Linked DNA regions of Saccharomyces cerevisiae S288C. The protein of the gene in region 3 purifies or fractionates together with the protein of the main gene of each other region. This does not show direct contact. Each region holds a gene or a part of one and is shown on either strand. Other genes may lie near its edges.

The links. Proteins that work in one complex are often made in the same cells at the same time.
Region 1: the proteins of CAF130 (region 3) and CCR4 purify together in Saccharomyces cerevisiae (affinity purification with mass spectrometry; 6 studies listed by BioGRID, with this or other methods). This does not show direct contact.
Region 2: the proteins of CAF130 (region 3) and CAF40 purify together in Saccharomyces cerevisiae (affinity purification with mass spectrometry; 8 studies listed by BioGRID, with this or other methods). This does not show direct contact.

Annotation. Positions count from the first base shown.
Region 1 is NC_001133.9:110,346-115,297, reverse strand, and holds CCR4 (CCR4-NOT core exoribonuclease subunit CCR4), read left to right. Parts: upstream 1-1,938; coding exon 1,939-4,452; downstream 4,453-4,952. Other genes in the region: DNA-dependent ATPase FUN30, read right to left, coding at 1-379; ATS1 (Ats1p), read left to right, coding at 683-1,684; nucleoside transmembrane transporter FUN26, read left to right, coding at 4,868-4,952. UniProt on the Saccharomyces cerevisiae protein: Acts as a catalytic component of the CCR4-NOT core complex, which in the nucleus seems to be a general transcription factor, and in the cytoplasm the major mRNA deadenylase involved in mRNA turnover.
Region 2 is NC_001146.8:88,653-91,924, forward strand, and holds CAF40 (CCR4-NOT core subunit CAF40), read left to right. Parts: upstream 1-1,650; coding exon 1,651-2,772; downstream 2,773-3,272. Other genes in the region: PCL1 (Pcl1p), read left to right, coding at 1-84. UniProt on the Saccharomyces cerevisiae protein: Acts as a component of the CCR4-NOT core complex, which in the nucleus seems to be a general transcription factor, and in the cytoplasm the major mRNA deadenylase involved in mRNA turnover.
Region 3 is NC_001139.9:751,947-761,638, forward strand, and holds CAF130 (CCR4-NOT core subunit CAF130), read left to right. Parts: upstream 1-5,823; coding exon 5,824-9,192; downstream 9,193-9,692. Other genes in the region: YGR130C (uncharacterized protein), read right to left, coding at 1-1,898; FHN1 (Fhn1p), read left to right, coding at 2,780-3,304; prohibitin subunit PHB1, read right to left, coding at 3,643-4,506; PEX4 (E2 ubiquitin-protein ligase peroxin 4), read left to right, coding at 4,950-5,501; PRE9 (proteasome core particle subunit alpha 3), read left to right, coding at 9,446-9,692. UniProt on the Saccharomyces cerevisiae protein: Acts as a component of the CCR4-NOT core complex, which in the nucleus seems to be a general transcription factor, and in the cytoplasm the major mRNA deadenylase involved in mRNA turnover.

The DNA of each region.
Region 1 (4,952 bases), on a different chromosome or scaffold from region 3:
TGGGAGATGCGTTCTTGTTCCATGTCCAATTTTGTCTTTGCTGCCTCAATCTTGTAAGACGTTCCCTGGCAGACTGTAAGTTAAAAGAGTTAGATTTGAAAACAGCCTGCACCAGAGTTTGAGAGAAATCGGGGAACTCTCTCGCAAGGTTAACCAGTGCTACCTCAGGACTCCCAGATGGGAGCGGCTTCGAAGTATGAGCTCCTTCGCTGGGATCTGAAGGCTTGAAAGTAAACCTGCTTCTCAAAGACGCCACACTTGCATCCGGAACTGTTGGCGAAGTAGGCTTTAAGGGAGACGACGATGCTACCTTGGTGGGAGAGGACGTCTCGGGCACTTGCACTACGTCATCCTCATCATTTGAATGCGAACCACTCATGTTTTCAACTATAGCGTATTTTCTCTCTTTTTCTTGTTTACGTTCCTTACTGTAGATAGTCGGGTGTCCACCAGTAGCAACAAACTCGAATATAGAGCACTATAGCACACGCCAGTACTGATTTAAGTTACGTGTTGCATTGCGAGATGGGCTCATGATCTCTTTTAATCCTACAAAGTGAAAAATTATGAAAAATTTCGCGGCGACGGGGGTAACGCAGCCGTTTGAGCCTTGATAATGCAGGCAGATCCAAAGCGCAAGTGATGGAATGTGATCATTAAAGGCTATAACAGGCTTGTATCGATGAGTTGTGTGTATGCGTTTGGGTCTAATGGGCAAAGGCAACTGGGACTGGGGCACGATGAGGATATGGATACCCCACAGAGGTCTGTGCCAGGAGATGATGGAGCAATAGTCAGGAAGATAGCGTGCGGTGGGAACCACAGCGTGATGCTGACAAATGACGGGAATCTGGTAGGATGTGGAGATAACAGACGGGGAGAACTGGATAGTGCGCAAGCACTGCGGCAGGTGCATGACTGGAGGCCCGTGGAAGTACCGGCACCCGTGGTGGATGTGGCGTGCGGCTGGGACACGACAGTTATTGTGGATGCTGATGGCCGTGTATGGCAGAGAGGAGGCGGTTGCTACGAGTTCACTCAGCAACATGTGCCATTGAATTCCAACGATGAGCGCATCGCAGTATACGGATGTTTCCAGAACTTTGTGGTGGTGCAAGGCACCCGAGTATACGGCTGGGGCAGCAACACAAAGTGTCAATTGCAAGAGCCCAAATCCCGATCACTGAAAGAGCCCGTATTGGTGTACGATACCGGGTCTGTGGCCGTAGACTACGTGGCCATGGGCAAGGACTTCATGGTCATAGTGGACGAGGGCGGCCGCATAGTGCACGCATCCGGTCGCCTGCCCACTGGGTTCGAGCTCAAACAACAGCAAAAAAGACACAATCTAGTGGTACTGTGCATGTGGACCTCGATCCACCTGTGGAATGCGCGCCTCAATACGGTAGAGTCGTTTGGTAGGGGCACACATTCCCAACTCTTCCCGCAAGAGCGCCTAGACTTCCCTATTGTCGGTGTTGCAACCGGGAGTGAGCACGGTATTCTAACTACTGCTAATCAAGAAGGCAAGTCTCACTGTTACAATGTATACTGCTGGGGCTGGGGAGAGCATGGCAACTGCGGCCCGCAAAAGGGCTCCCAGCCTGGACTGCAGCTCGTGGGCCAATACTCTGGAAAACCTCGCGTGTTTGGCGGATGTGCCACCACGTGGATCGTGCTCTAGCACTGATAAGTAACTATATACCCACTATCATATACATAGATGTCCATTCAGCATTAATTCTCATCGTGGTAGATCTCAAAGGTAAAGTAGCCGTTTAGGCCTTTTGTTATCGCCCGTACTTGCGAAAAACGGGCCAACAACGAAAAAATTTGAAAAAGTTTCCACCTTAGAGAAGGTTCTCAAGCACAAGGGCACAGCATAAGGGACACCAGCAAGGGAACTCCGACTGACGTTATCCCTGCAAACTACCGCTAATGAACGACCCTTCTTTACTAGGCTACCCTAATGTGGGCCCGCAGCAGCAACAGCAACAGCAGCAACAGCAGCATGCCGGGCTACTAGGAAAGGGTACACCAAACGCTCTACAGCAGCAGCTACACATGAACCAGCTCACCGGGATACCTCCACCGGGACTCATGAACAACAGCGATGTACACACTTCCAGCAACAACAACTCGCGCCAGTTGCTCGACCAATTGGCTAATGGGAACGCGAACATGCTCAATATGAACATGGATAACAACAATAACAACAATAACAACAACAACAACAACAACAACAACGGCGGTGGAAGCGGGGTGATGATGAATGCCTCCACAGCCGCAGTAAATTCTATAGGGATGGTTCCTACCGTTGGTACGCCTGTGAACATCAATGTGAACGCCAGTAACCCTTTATTACACCCGCACTTGGATGACCCTTCTTTACTAAACAATCCGATCTGGAAGCTTCAATTGCATCTGGCTGCAGTGTCCGCACAATCTCTGGGGCAACCCAACATTTATGCTAGACAAAACGCTATGAAGAAGTATTTGGCTACACAACAGGCTCAGCAAGCTCAGCAACAAGCGCAGCAACAGGCACAGCAGCAGGTCCCGGGCCCATTTGGCCCCGGACCTCAGGCTGCACCACCAGCTTTGCAGCCCACCGATTTCCAGCAATCTCACATTGCAGAAGCCTCCAAATCACTGGTAGACTGCACAAAGCAAGCCTTGATGGAAATGGCCGACACTCTCACCGACAGCAAGACAGCAAAGAAACAACAACCTACGGGAGATAGCACTCCCTCAGGCACGGCAACTAACAGTGCAGTTTCTACACCATTGACTCCCAAGATAGAGCTGTTTGCTAATGGCAAGGACGAAGCCAACCAGGCGCTCTTACAACACAAGAAACTGTCTCAGTACAGCATCGACGAAGATGACGACATTGAAAACAGAATGGTCATGCCCAAGGACTCGAAATACGACGACCAATTATGGCACGCGCTAGATTTGTCCAACTTGCAAATCTTCAATATCAGCGCCAACATCTTCAAGTACGATTTTCTAACGAGACTATATTTGAATGGCAATAGCCTCACGGAACTGCCAGCGGAGATCAAGAACCTAAGCAACCTACGCGTTTTGGACCTGTCGCATAATAGGTTAACATCTCTACCAGCGGAACTAGGCTCATGTTTCCAATTGAAATACTTCTACTTTTTTGATAACATGGTCACCACATTACCATGGGAGTTTGGGAACCTGTGTAACCTTCAGTTTCTTGGTGTAGAAGGAAACCCCTTAGAAAAACAGTTTTTAAAGATCCTTACAGAAAAATCTGTCACGGGATTGATTTTCTACCTAAGGGACAACAGACCAGAGATTCCCTTACCGCATGAACGTAGGTTCATCGAAATCAATACCGATGGGGAACCACAGAGGGAGTACGATTCTTTGCAGCAATCCACTGAGCATCTGGCCACCGATTTAGCCAAGAGGACGTTCACCGTCTTATCCTACAACACCTTATGTCAACACTATGCCACCCCAAAAATGTACCGTTACACACCGTCGTGGGCGTTAAGTTGGGATTACAGGCGCAATAAATTAAAGGAGCAGATTCTCTCGTACGACAGTGATCTGTTGTGTTTACAAGAAGTGGAGTCTAAGACTTTTGAAGAGTATTGGGTGCCCCTATTGGACAAGCACGGTTATACAGGCATCTTCCATGCAAAGGCAAGAGCCAAGACCATGCATTCCAAGGACTCCAAGAAAGTGGACGGGTGTTGCATTTTTTTCAAAAGGGACCAATTCAAGTTGATCACCAAAGACGCCATGGATTTCAGCGGTGCTTGGATGAAACACAAGAAGTTCCAAAGAACTGAAGATTATTTAAACCGTGCAATGAACAAAGACAACGTTGCACTGTTCTTAAAGCTACAACACATTCCTAGTGGCGACACCATATGGGCGGTCACCACGCATTTGCACTGGGATCCAAAATTTAATGATGTCAAGACATTCCAAGTAGGTGTCCTGTTAGATCATCTGGAAACGCTGCTAAAGGAGGAGACATCGCACAATTTTAGACAGGACATTAAGAAATTTCCTGTGCTCATTTGTGGTGACTTCAATTCATACATCAACTCCGCCGTATACGAATTGATAAATACAGGCCGTGTCCAAATACATCAAGAGGGAAATGGTAGAGATTTCGGTTACATGTCGGAGAAAAATTTCTCACATAACTTGGCTCTCAAATCAAGTTATAATTGTATCGGAGAACTACCATTCACCAATTTCACACCGTCATTCACAGATGTTATCGACTATATATGGTTTTCTACACATGCTCTAAGGGTGCGTGGGCTATTGGGTGAAGTGGACCCTGAATACGTGAGTAAGTTTATCGGGTTCCCCAACGACAAATTCCCCAGTGACCATATACCATTGTTAGCAAGATTTGAATTTATGAAGACAAACACAGGCAGTAAGAAAGTATAAACCGCACACTTTCATCCCACTCCCTCCCTCCTCTCTGTACACTACCTCATTATAAAATTGAAACGATCCCAATCTCACCGCACTTCCCATAAAGCCTTCACGTTATACTTTTTTTTCTCATCTTTTTTTTCTCTCTCTCTCTCTCTCTCTTTTGCGTATCTTTTTCGTCCTGTTTCTTTCTTACTTAAGTATCTTTTTATAATATTTAAGAGAGCCAAAATTATTTAACCAAACCAAGAATCTTGTATTCTATAACGAATCCTTAATTCTTCTTGTTGTTATTAATGCCAAAAACAGAATTAATTTCCCGAAAAAGAAAAAAAAATTGACTTAAAAAATCATAGGAAAGGATGAATGATTTACGTTACGGCGACAGCTTATCATCAAACGCAAGAAAGCATACCAGATTGCAAAAATGAGTACTAGTGCGGACACTGATACCATCAAGAAGCCAATCCTTGCGGTGCCAGAGCCTGCACTGGCCGATACGCATTCAGAGG
Region 2 (3,272 bases), on a different chromosome or scaffold from region 3:
GTCAGGACGGTAGAGAAATGGAACGACAATGTCAACAGGCAAAGTTGGGATCTGGAACAGATCATGAGTCAACATGGGTTTTAATGTGGTAAACAAGATGGCCCTTACGGGGCTCTTAGTGGGAGAAAGATTTTTAATAGAGCATAATTAACGGATACATAATATATTATAAATTTAAATAATCAAGGATACCTAATAATAATAACAATCAACTGAACACAACATTAAAAATGGTATTTGTTATTGTATGTTAAGCCCTAAGTGATTGTGCCGTTATAACTTCCATTCGGGTGATACCTGCAATATGAGGAAGAAAAAAGATAAATTTTTTCTTCTTAAAGTATAAAAGGCGGACATATTTGATTTAAATGCAGAAGTTTTCTCTCAGTGGTTTATGTTTTACATATGATAGAAAAAATGAAGCAATAGCAAAGTATCGTAGTGCGAACCGGTCTCGTAACTTTGATAAGTTTATCAAAGGCGTTAACATTTTGTTTCGTAATAGTACCTTAACACATGACGAAGATGAAAATTAAACATGAATTCAAGGAAAAATGGTAAATGACGAGAAAAAAGCTGTGCACCAGTCTGAACATGGATGCCACAAGTACTCAGGTGTCCTATGAAGCATTAAGTATACCCAAATTTCTGATCCATTTTCCTTTATTTTCTTTTTTTTTTTTCTCTCACATCTGTGACTGTATTATGAGCAAACTGTTTACGTTGAACGGAATCGATATGTAAATTAAATCTTTTGAAATATGTAGGACAGTGCTTGTATAGGTCTGTTAAGTAGATTATAGAATGTACGCCTTTTTTCTGGGCGTGAAATAGATCAGAAATCCTGTTAGGTTGCCACTGGTCCATTTCAGTGTTGCTCATCCAATCAATCATGTATTTACATGCCTGGAGTGGCCTATTCTATGTATTAACAGCCTTTGCAAGACGCGACATTGTTCTTTCCGATATGGCTCGGAGTAGACTAAATATGCTACTTATAGTTTTTCTTGCGTATACCATTGTCTTATAGTTTTTGCACACATTAATGTTTAAAATTGAAACTACGAAGCAAAACAATAAAAAAAACAAACAAAACTTAAAAATAAACAAAAGACGCTCGAAACCAAGTGCATTTATTGAATGTTTTTGGGAATGCAAGTAGCAATACTATTGTAAAAGTACTACTATTTCCCTGTATCATACGCTTTTACTACTATTCCTCACATAAAGCGAGATGCTTACAGAATGCATAAGAGAGAGAAGAAAACCCTATTACGCCCACTTGTCTATATTAGATTACTGTCCCTATTTATATCATCATTGCAAAACGTGAGCACCTCATTAGACGTAGATTCTTGCATAAGTATTACTAGCAGGAGAGGAAAAACTCCACCCACACACCTCAACATGCTGAGAATTTTGCTGCGAGCAGCAAGAGGCAAAATCCAAATTTAAAGTAATTTACGCATAGAAGACATTGTAAAGGGATTGCAAAGACGTAGAGTACGCAAGTTAGAAACCGTTCATCTTTTAAAACTCCCAAGTTTTGACAAATTTGCGAGTGTGTGTGTTTCTGCTGATCTTGACGAGATTAAACTTTGTTCCTGAAGCAACAACGACAGCAACTGAACATCCTCTGAATAAGTTAATATGTTTTCCGCTCAAAAGCCAATATATGGCAATGGAGCAGGCGTGAACATGGGTGGTGGTGGTCCTTCAACTAATAATCCAGGATCTATGTCCATGCCTGGGGTTCCAACTTCAATGGGTCCAGGCATGAATCAACAAATTCCAAGTGGAGGCCCCATGCTAATGGGCAATACTCCGAATAATAATAATAGCAATGAAAATGGCGAGAACAACGGCAATAACGGCAATAACGGCGGTAACGATGCTAACGCAACTCGAAACAATCCCAACATGGTCAATAATAGAGGCGCAGTGCATGCTCTAGATGATCCCAATGTATACCACTGGATTTGTCAATTGACCTACGGCCCTCAAAAGGAACAAGCACTGCTTGAATTAGGTCGCAAAAGAGAACAGTTTGATGACCTTGCCGTTGTGCTTTGGTCTTCCTTTGGTGTAATGACCTCATTGCTGAACGAAATCATTTCCGTATATCCCATGCTGCAACCTCAGATGCTCTCTAACAATCTATCAAATCGTGTATGCAACGCTCTAGTTCTTCTACAGTGTGTTGCATCTCACCCAGAGACAAAACATCTCTTTTTACAGGCCCATATTCCTCTCTTTCTTTTCCCCTTCCTAAATACTACCTCCAGGCAAAGAACTTTTGAGTACTTGAGATTGACTTCATTAGGTGTGATAGGCGCATTGGTCAAAAATGACTCACAAGACGTAATAACGTTTTTGCTAAGAACCGATATCGTGCCGTTATGCCTAAGGATCATGGAATCTTCTTCTGAGCTTTCCAAGACAGTCGCCATTTTCATTTTACAGAAAATCCTACTAGATGACGTTGGATTGCAATACATCTGTGCCACCTTGGAAAGGTTCTACGCCGTAACTAATGTCTTAAAAGATATGGTTGAGCACTTGACCGTGAGCACACCACCGGGACGACTACTGAAACATATCATTAGATGCTACTTAAGATTAAGCGACGATCTCGAAGCACGCAGGCTATTGAAAATAGTCTTACCTGCCAAACTGAGAGATAACACTTTTACGGAAGTACTAAGAGACGACGTCGGGTCCAAGAGATGTCTGGCACAATTGCTACTGACATTAAACGAAGAAACCTCATGATGCATCCCCATAGATATATTACTGTTTTTCTCTTTCTATTTTCCTGTATTGTTTTAACCTTGCCTTTTTGTTTTAGTTTCACTTCCTCACCTCTCCTAATTTTGTATAGTTATATTTATATGCATGAAATGTATAAAGTCCACTCATATTTCAGAATGGTTTAAGTTAAGTGCCAGAAGGTTCTTCTGTACTATTACTATTACCCATTTTTCATCCTATCACCCGGAATGTACCCCTTGTGTCATTCACTACGACGCCACGAACCACGATTCTATTTTTTTCGAAATCTAAAGGTTTCGTCAAGATCAATGAAATATACATAGGCGTTTTTTTGGATACGAGTTGCATTGTTGAGAACACAATTCTTTACAAATAAGTGCAAGGGAGGAATTGTGTGTGCTCATTACCAACGTACTTCTTCAGTTATTCTGCTAAACCCGTTTTTTTGTTCTTAGCTTCATCCAGGTGAGCCCGCAAACATTACAGAACGACGTATAATA
Region 3 (9,692 bases):
ATTTGATTATCAATATCATTAATTTGTGGAAGATATTCCTTGTTCTCTACACTTTCCAAAACTTGTACATTTTTTTCATGCAGCTTCTTATTTTCTTCAGTTTGGGTAACCAAATCCTCCTTTTTCTTTTCCAGATTATCGATTTCGTTTTGAACTTTGCCTTGTTTCAAATTAATCTGGTTAATCTTAAAGATCTGAGCATCCAACTGTTGAGATAAGTTACTTAAGTTCGTGGTCCAGTCATTGAACTCCTTTTGGACATTCGTTTTCTCATTGTTCAAATCATCGATTTCTGACTTAACGTTGGTTTGTTTGTCCAAGACCTCATTTTTCTCCTGCAACTTTTGGTTTTTCATATTTTCAGTGTCTTTTAATATCATTAGTTTCTTATTATTATGCTCGGCATTAACATCAATGATTTTTTTGACCAACCGGTTTTTACTAACTTCAATTTTCTCAGAAGTTTCTTCTCTCATGGCCTTCATTGAATTTTCAATTTCGTCAATCTGATTTTGTAAATCTTGTAGCTTTTCTTTGTATTCTTTATTTTTAGCATCATATTTATCCTTTTCCTTTGCTCGAAGATCAGCTAACCATGCTTGATGAATTTTTTCATCATAATTGATTTTATCATAAACTGCCTTTGATAGGTAACCATGTTCTTTTGTCTTTACAATTAATTCAGGATTTTCTGGAGTGGCCACTGGATTGGATGGAGCGGCGGTCTTACTTTTTTGGGTAGATGAAGAAGTAGGGCTTTTCCATAAAGCGAAAATTCCGGTTCTTTCCTTTCGAGAAGGTTCCTGAAAAGGGACCTTGGGAGCCTTGCTTGGATCGATTGGGCTTTCATCTTCTTCGGATTCCGGTTCCGAGGTTTCTGGAGTAGACGTTCTCTCAGCAGATTCCTCTGCAGACGATTGTTCGGTTTCCTCTTCTGCATCCCCTTCCGCTTCCACTTCCTTTTTTTCTTCCCCACTGGGAGGATTGACTTTTTTTACATCGGATTTTTCCTCCTTTTGTTCGTCTGTTGGCACGACACCTGACTTTGAACCGCCACTTTGATCTGTAGTGCGTGGTTCCAACACCCCATTCTCGGATGAGATTGGTTCCGCTACATTAATTTGAGCTGAATCAGCAGTGCCTTTGCCAATTGAAGTAGACTCACTCACTTTGTCTTCATGTTCTTCCTCCACGGAAGTTGCTTCATCAGCACTATTTTCGACAGCATTAGTAGTAGAAGTGCTGGTAGTAGAAGTACTGGTGGTAGTGGTTGTCGTAGTTGCAGTGTCAGCAGTTGCTTCAGTGGCCTCAGATGTGGTAGTAGAAGTAACGTCCCCTTCATCTGATGAAGACGATGACGATGACGATGACGATGACGATGACGATGATGATGTAGAAGTGGACGAAGAAGTAGTAGTGTCAGTGTCATCTTTTTCATCCTTAGTTAAGTCAGTAATTTTCTGGCACTTCTTCAAATATTTCAAATGTTTCTCCTTTAGTTCCAACTCAGTTAGTAACTGATATTGTCTTTCTTCATTTTGAGTTAGGTAAGTTGGAAATCTAATATCTTTGGCTCTCTTAGCATTTTTTGGTATGTTTTTGTACCCTAAATCCTTAGGTTGCTGTTTTGAATAGGCAGAAGTAGCACTTACGGTAGGAAACTTTCTGTTTTTTGCGTCTTCCCCATATGCCCGGTTGTTTTGCCTATTGGCGAGGGCATCTTGTCTAAATGGCGAGACCCACTCTTCCTTACCTTTTGGCTCATTGGACACAACCTTTTGCAAAAACTGATAAGGGCTTTCCTGCTGATGCGCTTGCTGATTTTGCGTATTTGCCGAAGATTGATTGATCAATTGCGTAAAGGGGTCGTCTTCTTGACGGTTGATATTGAATAGCATGTTTTGAATACGTAGTTGATTGACCTCTTTCTTTTAATTGCGTGCAGCTGCTCTCAGGTTTAAGATGTACGAGGGTCCACGGGGTAGCAAGCACAAGAACGATGATATATATGACAGAACGATGGATAAGAATGGTATGTTGTCTGCACTGTTCAGCATTCGACTACCCCTCTCCCGGTTCTTTTCTCCTCGTTTCAATTTAAAAAAGCAACTCGCTACCCGGCCGCACACCCCTTATTCCTGTTCAGCCGTTTAAGGTGAGAACCCTTTACTTCATAGCCTTTGTAGATCTTTCTATTGCTACCATTGAAGGGTCGGTGACGTGGAAATTTTGACATTTATCAGTGGCGTATTGGGAGGCAAGCAATTGAAAGAACTGTGATTTATTTCCGCTTGTTCGAAATTATTGATGTTTAGCACTTTGCAGTAGCGACAATACAATATATGTGCTTTTAGTGCTGGGATAGTTCGTAGCTCCATTTCGGGGCGCTTGTTACATTTATTGTATATGCGCGGATGTGGCACATGCTGTTGAGATCTCACTCCTTTGGTATCTCTTTCCTGCGCCGCATTGTGCCGGCAGAATGTCGCGCTTGTATTCTCATGAACTTTTCCTCTTTACGAACCCTTTGGCGGCATGCCGTTTAAAATCTGTTGAAGATTTCCTTTACGAACAATGAGCAATGTTTTGCACAGGCAGGTGGGAAGTAGGGCCTATCGCGCCTTGGATGCAGATATAAGTATAAATATAAATTATAATAATTGGCTGTATCAGTAAATCCTTCTTGCGATGGGAGGAAGCACGATAGAGTATGTTAAGCTTTTGAGAGGCTTCATATTCATTGGAATTTTAAATAACAATAAAGCAACAACAATAATAAATGCTATCAGCTGCAGATAATTTAGTGCGCATCATAAATGCTGTTTTTCTTATTATATCCATAGGTCTAATCAGCGGCCTGATAGGTACACAGACAAAGCATAGTTCTCGAGTGAACTTTTGTATGTTTGCCGCCGTTTATGGTCTGGTTACGGATTCATTATATGGGTTTTTGGCTAATTTCTGGACATCATTAACATACCCAGCAATTTTGCTTGTTTTGGATTTTTTAAATTTCATATTTACGTTTGTAGCAGCCACCGCTTTGGCTGTAGGTATAAGATGCCATTCGTGTAAAAACAAAACATATCTGGAACAGAATAAGATCATACAAGGCTCAAGCTCCAGATGTCATCAATCTCAGGCTGCTGTTGCGTTTTTTTACTTTTCCTGTTTTCTATTCCTCATCAAAGTGACTGTGGCCACGATGGGTATGATGCAAAATGGTGGATTTGGCTCTAATACCGGATTCAGCAGAAGGAGGGCAAGAAGACAAATGGGCATACCTACAATTTCCCAGGTTTAAGCCTACTGGACTGAAAAAAAGGCAATTCGCGTACAATTTTCGTTGATCGTTCTTTATATAACCTTTGCATTAAATAAATTTAACAAAAAAAGTTCTTTCTAAAATAATATTATGGTGATACATGAATGTGCTTTAGTTTTTTCGTAGGCTCATCCATGTATATATATAAATGATAAAAAACTAAGTTACGATATTGATAGCATACGTATTCGTGTTGGTAACTAAATGGAAAGATGGAATATGTTATTGGCGTTGTTATCCCCCATATATACAGGTTTCTAATATGATTAAAAAAAAATTTTCTCCCCTAGTTTATTGTGTTCATAGCTTTTCCAGACTTAACGGCCAATGTTCAAAAGCAAGGAATTTGGTGATCCCGAAGACTCGCTGTTACCACCACCAGAATGTTGACTTGGTAAATAGACAACGTTAGATGAGTTTGCTAATGTTTGAGCGATGTCCTTAGAAGCTTCTAATCTTCTAATCAATAACAGACCATCACCAACTTTAGCTAAGGCTTTTGAAATGAATTCAGCACTTTCTGCTTCACCTTCAGCTCTGATAACAGAAGCTTGTCTCTCTTGCTCTGCCTTTTCGACAAGGAATTTGGCTCTTTCGGCATCTTGCTGTGCAATCTGCTTCTGCTCAACTGCTTTCGTGAATTCGGGACCAAACGTCATATGAGTGATAGAGACATCTTCCAACTTAATACCGAATTCGTTGGCCCTCGTAGAAAGCTCTTTTCTGATTTTTTGAGAAATAATTTCTCTCTGAGTAATTAACTCAGCAGCATCAAATTGAGCTACTATAGACTTTAAAACCTCATTGCCGATAGATGGTAACACTCTTTCGTCGTAATCGAGACCCAAATTTTGGTATATTGCGGGTAGCTGTAAGACCTCTGGTCTATGTAAGACTCTCAAGGTCAATGACACCATTTGCAAATCCTTCGTACCAGTATTGGTAGCAATGCTCTTTGGTTTCGTCCTCACATCGTATATGATCGCCTTCTGTAGCCAAGGCACCAAGAAATGAGTGCCTTCACCCACAACCTGTTGCTTTACACCATTGATTCTGTCGAAAATAACACCACGAGAACCACCCTTCACATCATACATGGAGTACTGAATCCCGCTAGCAATTATACCAATGGGCAACGCCACCTTGGTGATGACATCGATAAGTTTGGCAGAATTAGACATTCTTTTCTAAAGTAAATTATTGATTTTGAATGTAAGTTTCGTACCGTTGATGGTTGGTTTACCGATTTATTTTTTTTCCTCTTCTTTCTGCTTAATATTATATACCTCAACCGTTGCATCCATGAGATCGTCAAACTCCCTTTCCCTGAAATTTATTGATGCGATACATTCGCGTTACCCGTATCATCATGAAGACGAGTTTATTCTCATCAGTGTTGATCTCTCATACTTGAATAACTCATTTGCAATGGTCTAAGACTCCAACTATGTAGTCATAGTCATTCACTGAAGTTTCTCTTTTCGAAATCCTGAACGGAAGCGGAATATATGTGGTATATATCGCATATTACTGCTTCACAGCATGCAGCGCAGACTGGCCGGGTTATGCTGCCACTTACTGGAGACAACATAAAATATACATAATCATCGCCTTTATACATAATATGCCAAACTTCTGGATTCTTGAGAATCGTAGGAGCTATACGTCTGATACATGTATGTCGAGGATCGTGAAGGAGTACAAAGTCATACTGAAAACATTGGCCAGTGATGACCCCATAGCGAACCCCTACCGGGGGATAATCGAGTCACTTAACCCGATTGACGAAACCGACTTGAGCAAGTGGGAAGCTATAATTTCTGGGCCGTCAGACACACCTTATGAAAATCATCAGTTTCGAATACTAATAGAAGTCCCTAGTTCCTACCCCATGAATCCACCAAAGATAAGTTTTATGCAGAACAATATTTTGCACTGCAATGTTAAATCAGCCACAGGAGAAATATGTCTGAACATCCTTAAACCAGAGGAGTGGACTCCTGTATGGGATTTGTTACACTGTGTTCATGCTGTTTGGAGACTCCTAAGGGAACCCGTTTGTGATTCTCCACTTGACGTAGACATTGGTAATATCATCCGCTGTGGCGATATGAGTGCCTATCAGGGGATTGTAAAGTACTTCCTAGCAGAAAGAGAGCGGATCAACAACCATTGATACCACGTAGGATGGATGTGTTCGAATGGCAAACAATGGGCCCTCACTTTTATCTGATGCAATTTCTACCTTACCCGGGCAGCGCCAATTTATGAATACAAATACTTTAACAAATTGCACTATTGATGTATTGACACATTTGTATATACATATACATATATTAATAAGGAGCACGAATTTTTGACAAGTAGTGCACGCAATATCTACATTAGTTAGCTTTTCCATTGACGCTGAATTTTATTTTGGCAGCCCAGTAGATCGTTGAGGAGCTTTTTTCAAACACTTTTTCTCTCTTAACTCCACATACTTACGTAAGAAAGTGATGACGAAAAAGAAAGCAGCTACTAATTATGCTGAAAGGCAAAATTTAGCCAGTGAAGATTCTTCAGGTGATTCGGTTCATTTTAAGGACTTTATTCCCTTACAAGAGTTACTGAAAGATAAAAATTATGTTCCATCGGTGGAAAATTTGGAGAAGATCTTATATAATGAAACCATGTTTAATGATCAGAAAATATGCTCTAACCTATTGCTTGAGGCTCTCATAATTACGTTGTTCACAACAATTTCAGGGAAGTCAGCTTTACGATTAATTCAGACTTCTTCTTTGAAGGAAAGAAAATCCTGGGCCCAGTCCTTTGAAAATAACAGTTCTAGCTATGCTTCCATAGTACTGAGTTGGAAAGATAATGATATATTACTCCTGAAATTCTTAAGGTTTTTATTAGCAAATAAAACGGCCCCTCTTCAAATTAATCGGTACAATCTTCCAGAATACAAACTCCCGTTGAGCTTTTTAATTGTTTCAAAAATTACTATTCCGTCCATATTACTCAATGAAACGTATAATTTGTTAAAGGACTATTTGTATTCGATAACTGGCCGTATAGAGAGTTTGATAAGCTGCAGCTCCACATTTGATAAGCCAGCACTTGTCGTTAGAAAAATTTTAAAAGATTACAATAGAATGATAGAATGCCGAAATTTTTATTTCTGGTATTCCTTTAATGCTGAGAACAGAGTAAATCTTACTTTTAGTGATAACATTAGCCTGTTAATGGAAAATGATGAAGGCAATGCTGGAAGTGGCCTTGACGATAGCCGTTTTGATCATCAAAAACAACCGAGAGAGGCGATAATGGGCCGAACAATAAATGACCAGGAACAAATATATTCATTCGAACTGAACCAAGATGGAACGCTTGAAATACCCAACGTTATGGAGCATTCTTTACTAAGACACGAGCTTCTTTTTAAAATATTAAATCTCACTACGGTATTGACGCCATTATTGGAACTACAATTTTCTACGCTATGTGGCTTAGTAGATCCATTAATGCAGCCTACTCCCAATGATAAGCATATTATATCGATAGACTTTCTTTTTCAGCTTTTTTTGGGATTAATGTCTCAGTCGATCAAGACTTCTCAAGAACACAACGACCATTATGACTGGAAATTTTATATGTGTTTTAACATGCAAAAAATTATTGATGCTACCATGTTGAGGCTCAACTGCTTTGATTTTGATATATTAAACTCGGTAAACAATACAGATAATGCAGTTCATTGGAAGACGCAACTTCACAGATGGCTACCGCATGGCCTGAATACACAAGACTTGGAATTACTCTATATGATTGATATACTGGCGGTATATACCATCTACAAGTTGTATGAAAAAATACCTATACAACTAAACCCATTTTTATTTTCATTAATATCCTTATGGAAAAACCTCTCCTGTGTTATACTTTTAGCCTTAGAAATTGATAGAATTGAAGAGGAGAATGGCACTTACGAAACGCCGCTTATGGTTCGCGCCACAATTCGTGGAGCCGCAGCATTGAGGTCTGTAATAGCTACCGTTCTCAATGGATTAGTGAAAAATAATGATCATGATTTCAAGCACGAGTCTTTAAACACATTCATGTCGCCCTATGGAAGAAAATTGTGTCATGGTGCTTTATATGCCGATTTAAGGTCACATACTGCATCTCTACTTGCGCTTGGAGCAAGCATCGAAGATGTAACAGATTTATTTGCCGATTTACAGTCAGGTGATAGATTTGATGAGGATATTAGATATATGTTTGATTATGAATGTGAAGATTATGATGAATCTTTCTCTGAAAGCGATCATGGAGGATTGGATGAAAGCGTTGTTAACCCAACAGAAAAAATAGCATCTGGTAGTAATAATGTTTTCTTTCGGAGACGGTGCAATTGCATCTTCAATGATGATAAGTTGGTGGCAGAGGATGGTGCAAATGAAGCCTTTGGGTCAACAAATAGCGAAAACGTTGAAGGCGCAATGCATAATAATAGGAATGCGGTACATAACGCGACTACAGCCACTTCTGATCACGTCGTTACGTCACCTAACCCACTTTCCGTTAGATCAAGAAGTACTTTTGAATTTGACTATAGTGGGGAAGATTGGAGGGACGTTCCCAGAGATTTCAATATGTACTATTCGCCATCTTATTCATTCATCCATGAGCCTAAGTTAGATGTCATATTTAGTTTGACTCTACGTGGCGCAACAGAAAAGTTGAATAAGGAGGAATCCATATTGTTAGTGCGTTCAGTTGCATCGTGTGTAAGGAACGAGCAGGACCAAATGATTTTAGCAGACCTGGAGTCTAATTTTTCCGCAAGTATAAACGGCGATGTAGAAGGTGAAGGAAATACCAAAATGTCCAAGATAGATAATGAAGATCTCAGAAGAACCACGCCGGATGATATTTATGAAATATGGTCTGAAGAATCAGCATTTGAAAGGATGCTAAACGTGAATCACGACGTTGCGTGGAGATTAATGGATGAAATGTTAATGTGCACCGGTTATAGGAGAATATTGATATGGTTCCTTACGCATTTGGAGTTAAAACATTCGTTGATATATTACGTTTTTGAACTAATAATGGGGTTACGTGGAAAACCGTTTTCCGGAGAAGCCAGTGATCAAGATAAAAAGGATGATATGATATATGAGATCTTGAAGAAAAAGCAGAAGAATGAAGATGCTTCAGGACTTCCCTTTTCAAGGCAAGGACCTATCGTATTATCTGATATTGAGACTAAAATGTTACTGCAGGAGTTTTTTATGAATGCTGCTATTTTTTTGTCATCAAAAAATAACGAAGAAGAGAATGAAGACGGCGAGAAAATCTCCTTGTACTCCCTTGGTTTGGTTAGGTTGATCTGTTACATGGTGCAGACACTCATCGCGAACGACAAGTTTTTTTTTACCAAATCAGAATGCACTTTTGAGCTTCAAACTTTACTGATGACATGGATTGGCATCCTTCCTGAAGCCAAAGATTTATTCTTTAAGATCAAGACAAGGCTCGCCATGGAAGAAGAGGATAGTGCCGATACTATGCAGCATGAGGGCAGGAAGAACTCTGACATAGAGAAGAAGCTAAACGCTAAGCCAGCTTCTGAACTGAATCTGAAATTGTTAAACCTGTTTCCCTCAAAGCCTGCAAACAAAGACGATAGTTCCCCTATTAACACGTTGCGTAGTTTTATCGCTGATTACTCCTTCGACACCCAGGTGAACCCTCCAGGAAGAAGGGTGGTGTTCTACGATGGTAAGATTTTGCCATTGCCCAAAGCCGATAAGCCTATCCCACTTCATGAATATATAACACTCGCAGAGCTCGATGTTGGAGACAGTGAGTGAGCAGTGAATTGCTCATGTTTTCTCTGCATCCTCATTTAATGACAATTAGCCATGTAATAACATCTTGAGGCAGTTAAATATTCGTTACCCTGCAGGTGGCAAAAAATTTATAGAATAAAAGCATAAAAAGATGGATATCTATGTAATAAGGAAACATTGGCAGAGCGAAGAGAACAGACTGCTTTCTATAAAAAGTTTTCGATCAGTCTCTATTTTAATAATTGATTATTGGATATAGTTAGTAGTGTTAAACATGGGTTCCAGAAGATACGATTCCAGGACAACAATTTTCTCCCCTGAGGGACGTCTATATCAGGTTGAATACGCGCTAGAATCCATTTCACATGCAGGTACCGCAATTGGGATTATGGCATCTGATGGGATTGTTCTTGCAGCAGAACGCAAAGTCACAAGTACTTTACTAGAACAAGACACCTCTACCGAAAAACTTTATAAGTTAAACGATAAAATTGCGGTTGCCGTTGCTGGACTGACTGCAG